3 linked regions of the Canis lupus familiaris genome follow. The protein of the gene in region 3 purifies or fractionates together with the protein of the main gene of each other region. This does not show direct contact. Links are inferred from orthologs where the notes say so. Each region holds a gene or a part of one and is shown on either strand. Other genes may lie near its edges. The genes, in order: BTBD1, RHOBTB1 and COPS6.

Evidence for each region.
Region 1: the proteins of COPS6 (region 3) and BTBD1 purify together in Homo sapiens (affinity purification with mass spectrometry; 3 studies listed by BioGRID and IntAct, counting the BioPlex papers as one, with this or other methods). This does not show direct contact. The link is inferred for Canis lupus familiaris from reciprocal best matches to the Homo sapiens genes COPS6 and BTBD1.
Region 2: the proteins of COPS6 (region 3) and RHOBTB1 purify together in Homo sapiens (affinity purification with mass spectrometry; 4 studies listed by BioGRID and IntAct, counting the BioPlex papers as one, with this or other methods). This does not show direct contact. The link is inferred for Canis lupus familiaris from reciprocal best matches to the Homo sapiens genes COPS6 and RHOBTB1.

The regions. Positions count from the first base shown.
Region 1 is NC_049224.1:55,298,859-55,302,509, reverse strand, and holds part of BTBD1 (BTB/POZ domain-containing protein 1), read left to right. Parts: intron 1-315; coding exon 316-513; intron 514-3,651.
Region 2 is NC_049225.1:13,657,158-13,660,808, forward strand, and holds part of RHOBTB1 (rho-related BTB domain-containing protein 1), read right to left. Parts: coding exon 3,202-3,651; intron 1,873-3,201; exon of another isoform or gene 1,561-1,872; coding exon 1,442-1,560; exon of another isoform or gene 899-1,441; intron 1-898.
Region 3 is NC_049227.1:9,447,031-9,450,781, forward strand, and holds the start of COPS6 (COP9 signalosome complex subunit 6), read right to left. Parts: upstream 2,604-3,751; 5' UTR 2,579-2,603; coding exon 2,455-2,578; intron 2,234-2,454; coding exon 2,108-2,233; intron 1,915-2,107; coding exon 1,783-1,914; intron 1,456-1,782; coding exon 1,367-1,455; intron 1,278-1,366; coding exon 1,215-1,277; intron 909-1,214; coding exon 861-908; intron 784-860; coding exon 669-783; intron 576-668; coding exon 483-575; intron 391-482; coding exon 290-390; intron 184-289; coding exon 43-183; 3' UTR 1-42. UniProt on the Homo sapiens protein: Component of the COP9 signalosome complex (CSN), a complex involved in various cellular and developmental processes.

The sequences.
Region 1 (3,651 bases), on a different chromosome or scaffold from region 3:
GCTTTCTCTGACAGTTACTATTAATCTTACTCTGGATATTTGAGTTTGCTTAATAAATGGCATGAATATACAAGGAGATGCTATACCTAAGTTTCCATGTATAATAAGGAATAAGTTGAATGTTAACCTTATAGCAATTTTTTTAAATAAAACTGCCATTTAATTCTTTTCATTCTTTAATATTTTTAAGTATAGAGTTTTAAGTATCTAGCCTGTTTTTTGTTGAAATTTGAAAACTTAATATAAACTTGTTTGTGTTTTTTGTTAAAGAGCAAAATATTCCTAATTTGATTTATTTTTGTATTTTACTTGTAGACACACTCTGTGCGGTTCTAGAAAGAGACACACTTAGTATTAGAGAAAGTCGACTTTTTGGAGCTGTTGTACGATGGGCAGAAGCAGAATGTCAAAGACAACAATTACCTGTGACTTTTGGAAACAAACAGAAAGTTCTGGGAAAAGCACTGTCCTTGATCCGGTTTCCACTGATGACTATTGAGGAGTTTGCAGCAGGTAAGGCTATAACCTGACCAAAATCTGTGTAAAACAAATAGGCAGTCAGCTAGCCTCCCTGTGCAGGAGGAGAAGCAGCTGGTATTCATTGCGTTCTAGTTACACAATATATGAATGTGGGTATGTGCATGTAATTTCATTTATGTCTCCTGGTAGCCCTTCAGGATAACATTATAGGATATTTATTTCGATATGTGTATTAGGTTCTTTTTGTTGGTTTGTTTGAGTAGAGGCACACACAGGTTACATTAGTTTCAGGTGTACAACATGGTGATTCTGTTCTATAAGGTTATGTGCTCACCACCAGTGTAGCCACCACCTGTCACCATACAAGGCTGTTACAGTATCATTGACTGTATTCCCTGTGCTGTGCCTTTTTATTCCTGTGAATTAACTCATCCCTGGAAGTCTGGACCTCCCACACCCCTTCACCCATTTTGCCTATCCTCCCCTCTGGCAACCACCAGTTTCTGTGTTTGTGGGTCTGATCCTACCTTTTGTTTGTTTATTCTTTTGTTTTTATTTTGTTTTTTTAGATTTCCACACATATGAGTGAACATAGGTTATATTTTTAAAATACCATGTATATTTTGTATAGTTTGTATAACTATACAAAAATCATGTATTTTGGGACATCTGGCTAGTTCAGCAATTGAGTGCCTGCCTTCGGTCCAGGGTGTGATCCTGGAGTCCCAGGATGGAGTCCCACATCAAGCTCCCTGCATGGAGCCTGCTTCTCCCTCTGCCTGTGTCTCTGCCTCTCTCTCTGTGTCTCTCATGAATAAATAAATAAAATCTTTAAAAATCTTTTAGCCATTTTGACAGATGTGAGTGATGTTGAGCATCTTTTCATGTGTCTGTTGGCCATCTGGATGTCATTTTTGGAGAAATGTTCATGTCTTCTGTTTTTGAACGTATATAAAGGAAATTATATGTACAGTATGTGTTCTTTTGTGTATGGCTTTTTTCTCTTAACATGTCTTAGATTCATCCCAGTGGTTGTGTGTGACAGTAGCTCATTCTTTTTCATTGTTGTATAATCTGTTGTATGAATGTGCCATGATTCATTTATGCATTTAACTCTTGCTGAACATCTGGGTTATTTCTGTTTGGGGGCCATTAAGAACATTCTTATACATGTCACTTAGGGTGCATATGTAAACATTTCTGTTGAGTATTATACAAGTGGAATCGTTATGTCATAGAGTGTGCATGTAGTCAACATTAGATCTTACCAAATAGTTACCCAAAGTGATTATATCAGTTCATGCTCAACTGCCAAGTTAAGAGAGTTAAGAGTACATTCTAGTTGTCCCACATCCTCTGCAAAACTTGGTATTGTCAGTTTTTGTAGTTTTAGTCATATAGTAGGATGAGGACATACTTTATTGTGGTTTTAATTTTTTGTGTTTCTGACAATTAATGATGCTGATTGTGCCAATAACTGGATATCCTCCTTCATGAGATAATTTTTCTTTTAAAAAAATTATTATGGAAGTATAGTAGATATACAGTGCTATCCTAGTTTGAGGTGTATGACATAGTGTTTCAACTATTCTGTAAAAGTATAGTCACCATCTATCACCAATTAATGTTGTTATAATATTATTGGGTATATTCTCTATGCCGTTCTTCTCATCTCCATGACTTATTTTATAACTGAAAGTTTGTACTTCTTAATCCCCTCTACCTACTTTGCTCATCCCCCTCAACGACTTCCCCTCTGGCAACAGTTTGTTCTCTGTATTTAAGAGCTTGTTTATTTTGTTTGTTTGTTCATTAGTTTTTTAGTTTCCACATATATATGAAACCATATGGTATATGTCTTTCACTGTTTGACTTCACTTTAACATAATATCCTCTAGCTCTATCCATGTTGTTTCAAATGGCAAGATCTCATTCTTTTTTATGAATAATATTCCATTGTAATGTGTACCACATTTTCTTTATCTTTTTGTGTATTGATGGACACTTGGGTTGCTTCTATATCTTGGCTTTTGATAAAAAGAAAATCTTAATTTTAATGAAGTTACTTTTTTTTATTTTTATTTTTTTTTATTTTATTTATTTTTTTTTTTATTGGTGTTCAATTTACTAACATACAGAATAACACCCAGTGCCCGTCACCCATTCACTCCCACCCCCCGCCCTCCTCCCCTTCTACCACCCCTAGTTCGTTTCCCAGAGTTAGCAGTCTTTATGTTCTGTCTCCCTTTCTGATATTTCCCACCCATTTCTTCTCCCTTCCCTTATTTTCCCTTTCACTATTATTTATATTCCCCAAATGAATGAGAACATATAATGTTTGTCCTTCTCCGACTGACTTACTTCACTCAGCATAATACCCTCCAGTTCCATCCACGTTGAAGCAAATGGTGGGTATTTGTCATTTCTAATAGCTGAGTAATATTCCATTGTATACATAAACCACATCTTCTTTATCCATTCATCTTTCGTTGGACACCGAGGCTCCTTCCACAGTTTGGCTATAGTGGCCATTGCTGCTAGAAACATCGGGGTGCAGGTGTCCCGGCGTTTCATTGCATTTGTATCTTTGGGGTAAATCCCCAACAGTGCAATTGCTGGGTCGTAGGGCAGGTCTATTTTTAACTGTTTGAGGAACCTCCACACAGTTTTCCAGAGTGGCTGCACCAGTTCACATTCCCACCAACAGTGTAAGAGGGTTCCCTTTTCTCCGCATCCTCTCCAACATTTGTTGTTTCCTGCCTTGTTAATTTTCCCCATTCTCACTGGTGTGAGGTAGTATCTCATTGTAGTTTTGATTTGTATTTCCCTGATGGCAAGTGATGCAGAGCATTTTCTCATATGCATGTTGGCCATGTCTATGTCTTCCTCTGTGAGATTTCTGTTCATGTCTTTTGCCCATTTCATGATTGGATTGTTTGTTTCTTTGGTGTTGAGTTTAATAAGTTCTTTATAGATCTTGGAAACTAGCCCTTTATCTGATATGTCATTTGCAAATATCTTCTCCCATTCTGTAGGTTGTCTTTGAGTTTTGTTGACTGTATCCTTTGCTGTGCAAAAGCTTCTTATCTTGATGAAGTCCCAATAGTTCATTTTTGCTTTTGTTTCTTTTGCCTTCGTGGATGTATCTTGCAAGAAGTTACTATGGCCGAG
Region 2 (3,651 bases), on a different chromosome or scaffold from region 3:
CCTTTACACCTCACTACCACACTGTGGGTTATTATCATGCTTTCCAGATAGGCAGACTGGAGCTCAGAAATGTGGTTGCTTGCCCAAGACCACACAGCTTGGAAGTGGAGGAGTTGGGACTTGAGCCCCACATCCTTCACTGGGCAGCTTCCACTGTGTAGGCAGCTGTAGTCTCAGTGACACGGCGGCGCTGAAACCCGTCTGATGGCACAGGAAAGAATTCGTTAGTTACAGCAGAGAACCTCCTGATTCATAAAGGCTGGTAGACACCAAGAGAGGTCATAGGAATAATTCTAACACTTTTTGCCTCACACAGCAGCCAGCCTTTTGGTGGGGGTTGGTTTAGGAGCAGCTGCAGTTTGTTCTGGAAGCAGGAGGTGGCCTAGTGACCTGCTCTGCCCCAGCCTTCCCTGCTTGTGATTCTGCTTCCCTACTTGGGGATGCAAATGCAGGCTCCTGGGTCACAATGGGAGTGCTCAGATTTCTGGTGTGAGTGCCCCTTTCGAAAAGTTAGCTATTGTTTTCTTTATTTCTTTTAAAAGTGTGGAGAGATGCTGAGATATGCAAAACAAAGCTCTTAGGACAATAAACTTGATGGGGTGTCCCCGTGTTTTTTTAAAAAAAGATGGTTAAAAAATACTTTCGAAACTGAACAAAAATGCTTGCTCTTCTAGACTAAAGTTAGAAGTGCTTGATTGGAATTTATCTTTCTTTTCCAACCGAGTTTGTAAAAAAGATGAACATGTAGGGTCTTCAAGATACTGCTCACTCTGCTCTAAGAATATCCTTCCTCTGGAGACAGGGCCAGTGTCGGAGAAGTGGCTCAGTGGCTTCCACTAGACTTAAGAGAGGAGTGTTCAGAGGAGTGATCATTTGCTCCATCACTGTTTCCTTCCAGGTAACAAACCCTTGGAGGAGGCAAGTCAGGGCAGAGCCTCAGTGGGTGTTATAGCTCAAGGAGACCATCAGCGCGTCCCTGTCCCTGACCGGGCAGGGCAGAGGAGAAGACTGCGGCCAAGGATGTGGCTTCTTAAGGTCGTTGTCTGGGCAGGGGCTCAGCTGAGCCCAGGACTCCCATGATTGAAGAAGCTTCTGGAAGACAGATTCTGCCCCTATTGTATATGATTTTGATAGTATCTCGCTTGGTGACATTTGTTAAAAGGTAGAGCTGATCCTGTTTTACAAATGAAAGCGGTGAGCAACAGTCAACAGCTCCTTGTAACTGCAAAATTAAGAGGCACTTGATGGGATGAGCACGGGGTGATATGCTATATGTTGGCAAATTGAACTCCAATAAAAAAAAAAAAAAGAGGCTAACTGACACTTCAACACTGCCTAAGGAACTCGTTCATGGAAACAGTTGAAGAACTGAAGTCATCTGGTTAATTAAACACACACATGTTCATGAAGATACCACTTAGGCTTTTCAGAAGGCACATACCTCGCTGTTGGCGCTTTCCACAAATGAGCCCCCAAACATGGCAGCCATCCACCTGCAGCTACAGATCAGCAACGGTTTGTGGGCGCTGATGGCTCCATCATCCAACCTAAATGTCACATCTGCCCAAGGATTGAGGAAACAGAACCGTGAGCCAGCTCCGCTGAGTCTGCCTTGTTCATCAACCTACATCTCCTGCTCCTCTCTTCCGTATCTTTCCTTCGTGATTTTGTATCAACCTCCACCTCTGGAACTGCCAATTCCTTCTATGCCATCCAAGGATCAAGGGGTAAACATTTAAAATTGCACCTAAGATCCCAGCACAAATTCTCTGAACCATACAGTAACACAAAGGAAAGGAATATTTTTCTTTCTCCATACTCTGAAAAATTTCAAACACAATAAAAACAGTGGAAGAAATAGTACATTGTTAATATTTTGCCTCATTTGCTTTAGCTTTATGTGTATGTGCGCATTTGTGTGTAGATAGTGAATACGTGTGCATATGTATATATACATGTATATTTGGATATATATATATATTTGTGTAGACATTTTTTAACAGCATTACACTTCAAACTATCAAGTTTTCTAAAAATAAGAGCATTCTTCTAGATAATCATTATCACGTCTAAGAAAATTAGCAATGATTCCCTAATATCATCCAATATCTAGTTCATATTCAAAATTTTCCAGTTATCTCTAAATTGTATTTAGTTTTTTTTTTTTTTTTTTTAAATAGACAATCCACTTGAAGCTCCACACTGTATTTGGTCATTATGCCTTTGCATTAAGGGGACTGTGATTCAATTCATTTCCCTTAAGGTCCATTGTTTAATTTACTGCAGGTTTGTAACACTGCTTTTCATTAGCTTTCAGGATGGCTTCTGTTTCATGATGGTCAACGTTTCAAGTAAATATTATTTATAAGCTTTAAAATTATTGAACAGACTCAGTAACTGATGACTAAATGTATAGTACTAAATGTGTATTATGACAGGCATTATGAAAGATAAGGGATGAAAGAGAAGTGTCCGCATAAGGAAAAGTCAGAAAGTTAAATTTTTACAATGAAACACACACACACACACACGCACACACACACACACACACACACACAAAGGCAATTTCAGAAGTTAGTAAAAGTCTGTAAAGCAATTATGTGAAGATGCTGTGGGCAGTGGACAACATCGTTATCAAGGACAAAGAAGAGGAGAGGAAAATATAGAAGAGCAGGGTAAGGGAGTGTGGGAAAGAAAAGGAGGGGAGGTGGACAGATGAGGCACTCCCGATAGCAGGAGAGTTGCCAAAATCACTTCAAGGATTTCCAGGCCAAAGGGTCAGTGGAGAGAGTAGACTTGGTCAGGGAAAGGACCCTGAAGGGGAATTGTGAGCATCAAGCCAACTGGCTCTGGTGCTGGCTCTGGCTCAGGGGTCGTGTGGCCTAGCTATGAGAAGCACTGGTGCTTTAGAGGGGAGCTTGCCTGCAAATCCTGGCTCTACCGTTTACTACCTATATAACCCGGGGCAAGTTACCTAATCTCTCTGTCCTTCAGTTTCCCCATCTGCAAAATGGAAAAACATCTAGCTCTTAAATCTGATGAGAATTAAATAGGTGGATATGTGCAAGCTAGAGGGGTACATGAAAAAAATAAGGATTTATACATGTTAGTGATGGTTATTCTGTCCCCTACTCGTGTATGGCTAATGTTTGATGAAACAAGACCAAAGGGATCGATGCCTTTACCATTGGACCCACTTACCTGAGAATGTCCCTTTGCTGAGACACTCTTTTATCCGATTGGCCTTCCTGACGTGAAATGCTTTGGTAATCTCCTGGTTCATGAAGGCTTCCTTGTTCATGATGTTTTCCACCATCATCCTCAGATCAAACATCTCTAGAAGCTCTGCAATCTGAGCCAGGCCCACCAAATCCTTCTCCTTCTCATCCAGTTGTCCTGTATAAAGGAACTGGAGCAGGGTCCGAAAAGGGCCTGGCTGGACGGATGAGTCCATTCTGACCACGGTGATGGGGCTCAGCCGCTTGGAGACAGGATTGACTTGCATCTCCTTGTGCATGTCAAGGAACCCCTTGCTCCAGCCTGACAAAGTCTGCATCTCTGGAATTGAGCTCTCAGCTTCCAGCCCCAGACTCTCCTGTTGGGACAGGCTCTGGCTCGAGGACTTCCACTGACTGGTCTGAAGTGTCCTTG
Region 3 (3,751 bases):
GGACCACTGTCCAACCTGTGCATCGTCCCTTCAAGTACCCTCTCAGAAGAAGAGCCCCCGCATCCGCCTGCCGATGCCTTGTCGGTCATAGAGGACGTTGAACTTGTTCACAAACTGGTTCATGGTGTTGCAGGTTTTGGTAATGGTGCCAAGGTAGGCCATGAGCCCCACGTCATTGCATTGCTGGAAGGAACAGAAAACCAGTTGCCCAGGGAATGTCTGAGTCCCGGGTCCTGCGTGCAGACATGATGTACAAACCCCACGTCCCCAGCCTGGGTTTTAGACTCACATCGTAAAAGTCTGTCTTGAACTTGTCTGTACTGAGCACAGGGAGGCAGTGACACAGAGCATAGGCCTCCCGCAGGATCTCATGGTTAAAGGGAACCTCTCCTAAAGGCACAGAAGGACTGCATTAATGTGGATGAGGTCACCCTCAGGAGTGAGAAAAAGTGGTAGGCGTGCCAGGGAGACGCCTGTCCTACCCGCTTCAGAGGCCTTGACATATTCCAAGATGAGCTTGACCCGGCTGTGCAGCATCTTAATGGCACTGTGTTGTGCTATCAGGTGTTCGGCCACTGGGGGGAGACAGGGAGAGGCCAAGGTTGAAAACGCACCTGGCCACGCTTTCCACCCCCCACTGCTGAGGAAACACCTCCAGTCTTCCTTACCTGTGGAGTTCTCGCCGCTGCCTGTGGCTGTCATTCGGGCCACGTGGTCGACGCCAATGCGTTCAGCTTCCTCTGTGGCCAGAGTGTAGGTCAGTTCCGCAAACAGCATCGTGGCCTACAGGGCACAAAAGCAGAGTCAGGAGCAGGAAAGGCCAAGGAGCAGGACCGCGGGGTTGAAAGGCAGGGCATTACCTCTCCATTGATTATATCGATGACAGACTCAAAAACACTGACGGGAAGCTGTAAAGCAACGGGAGACAGCTCTTACATCAAGTGCACCTGGGCTACCGTACTGGCTCTTCTGCAGATTTTCCCAATCTTCCCAAGGGCCCACTGAAGTAAGGCTAACCCCCACCTTATACATAGGGCAAAAAGCAGTTCTGAGATTAAATGATTAACCTAAAGTCACACAGCTGCTGAGCGGAGAATTCACCTCAAGTGAAGATTCAGCCCAACAGAGATGTAAAGCACAGCAGGGGAGGAGGGTAAGATTGTCATGCTTGTCCAGCACCGTGCCTAAGTGGGCATGGGGTCAGTATTACTCACATCTGTGTGCTTGGTCATAGGATTCAACTTAAGAAAGAGAGGGCTCTCGATGATCTCGCACACCTGGAAGGGAATGGGGATGTGGGTGTCAATGCCCATCTTTCCTCCCCTGCTCAAGCCCTGCCCCAGCATGCACCAGCATGCATGTGTACCTGCTTGTGGACGTGGATGTCAGAGGGGTCAGGCGGCCCCCCGGTGGTATACCAACCCAAAAACTCCAGCTCCTTGAACACCTGTTTGACTGCAGGGGAAAGAGCACAGGGTATCATTCTTTAAATCACCCTCCCTTCATTGGAAACTCCTGGTATATTTTTCATCAGCTTCTCCCCTCCCCGCTCAACTCCTGGCTCAGTTCTCAATAATTAGTCCCTTCTATCTTCTCTCATCTATTACTGTCTGGGGGGTGGGTACCTAAACTGTTCCTTTTCTGAGATCCTTTGTGATACTCTCCTCACACAAACACAGTTCTTGTCCCATTCTCCTATTTTTCCCCATCACTCTCCATCTTCCCCACTCTGCCTTTGTTTCTCACTCCCACTCCTCACCCCCGAGTCTATCCCCCTCTCACACTGCTCCTCCTTGGTGTAGTAATACTCCTTGTCAATGATAATCTTCTCCTCCACGGTGTGGGACAGCAGCTCAAAGGAGTTCATCACCTCGATATTTCTGCCCTCCTGCTTCCCGATCAGCGCCCCAATCACTGGGGGAGAGAGCGACACGGAAAACAGGAGGGTTAAGAATCCGGTCCCTGGGTCGAGGTCAGTGGGAACGCAATGCTGGAGACACGGTGACCTGGGGAGGGGGGACTGGCCTCAGGAAGGGCGGGGGCAAAGACCCCTACTTGGGGCAGGTGACCAAGGAGAGGAGGTTGGAGATTGACGCCCAGCACGCACCCTGCATAGGCCGCCCCTCCTGGGAGCGCATGCGAATCCAATGGTCTGAAATGTTGAGAATGACGAGGGGATGAAGAGCGACGGAGACGCTCCCCGTCACGCCGGAGGCCATCACGCTGGGGACTACTGAGGGTGGAGGAAAAGGAGGACGAGTGAGCGTCGGGGCCGCACGTTCTGCCCCGGAGCTGCGAGCGGGAGACGGCAGAGCCGGAGCCATACATCCCTCCCGCAAGTTAGTCCAGGGGGCGGGATCGCCGTCCCGACTGCTGACTCCTCCCGGGAGTCCAGGGGGGCCTTGTCGCTCCCCGGGGGGCGTCACCAGAGGCCGCCTCCGCGAGGCCCGTTACCTGCCGCATCCACCTCCATCCCGCTGCTCCCTCCAGTCCCGTTCGCCGCCGCCGCCATTTTCCCCGCGCCCGCCAGCCTCGGCCCCGCCCCCTCCCCGTCGGCTTCCGTAGGCCAGCGGCGCATGCTCAGTGGGCGCGGGGCCTCGGCGGGTGGGGCGGGCGGCCCCGGAGCGGGTGGACTTCGGAAGACCGGGTCCGCCACGCGCTTGCGGCGGTGACAGATCTGGGACAAATTACTTCACCCTGCGCGCTCCCAGCCTTACCGTCCTCGTCAGTAAAACTGGGATAAAACGGCCCAGTTCCTAAGACTGTTGCAGAATTAATGAAGAACCACGTTATTGCCCTCAGAACAAGATCCGCGCCCGGGCCATGGCGTGCAAGGCCCCGCAGGGTCAGGACCCTGCCTGCCACCCGGCCCTCGGTCCTCGTGCTTCAGCCGCGCCGGCTCCCCTGGCAGTTCCCTTCGTATGCCCCACGCCCACGTGCGGGCCTCTGCCGCGTCCAACCCGACAGCCAAGGACCTAAATAGGTATTTCACTGAGTGGATAATCTGAGGTGAAACCTGGTCGCGAATGGTTCACCGGCGTGTCCTTTCCTCCTTGCAAATACCGTATTACCTACATACTAGGAACGTGCCCAGCACTCCAGCCCTTCCCGGCCTCCCTCTATCCTCCATCTCCAGCAGCCTTTCAAAACTCGCTTGGGACAAACCCAGCCCACTCCGACCCCTCCCCACTCCTACGCCCAAGCACGTCGCTGTGCACTGCGTTTACTCCCCCTTGCTCCCCTACCCATTTGTCTAGCTGGTTCTTTCAGTGTATGCCTGTGCCACATCCAAAGTGAAAGCTCTCAGAAAGCAGGTGAAGACCTGTGCCTTGAGCCTGCAGAGCCCACTCCAGTGCCCGCAACCAGCAGGTACCAGGAAATGTGTTCCAGTTTCCTTCAGTTCCAGTGTTTTAGCAGCATCTTCAAATCTTTTTCTTTGTCCCTCTGTTTCTGTAGTCACATCGCCTTGTGCGATAAAACCCCTCCTTGCTTCTTTCTTATAAAGACACCTGGCATTATATACAGTGCCCACTGGGATAACCCAGGATAATCTCCCCATCTGAAGATCCTTAATCATAAATCCACGATAATCTCCCCATCCGAAGATTCATACTTCAATCAGATCTGCAAAATCTCTTTTTCCCTGTAAAGTAACATTCACAGGTTCCAAGGATTGGGACCTGGCTGTATTTGGGGGCCACTGTTCAGCCCGCCATAGCACACGCAGCCCACTGTGGGGGAGCTGGAGAGC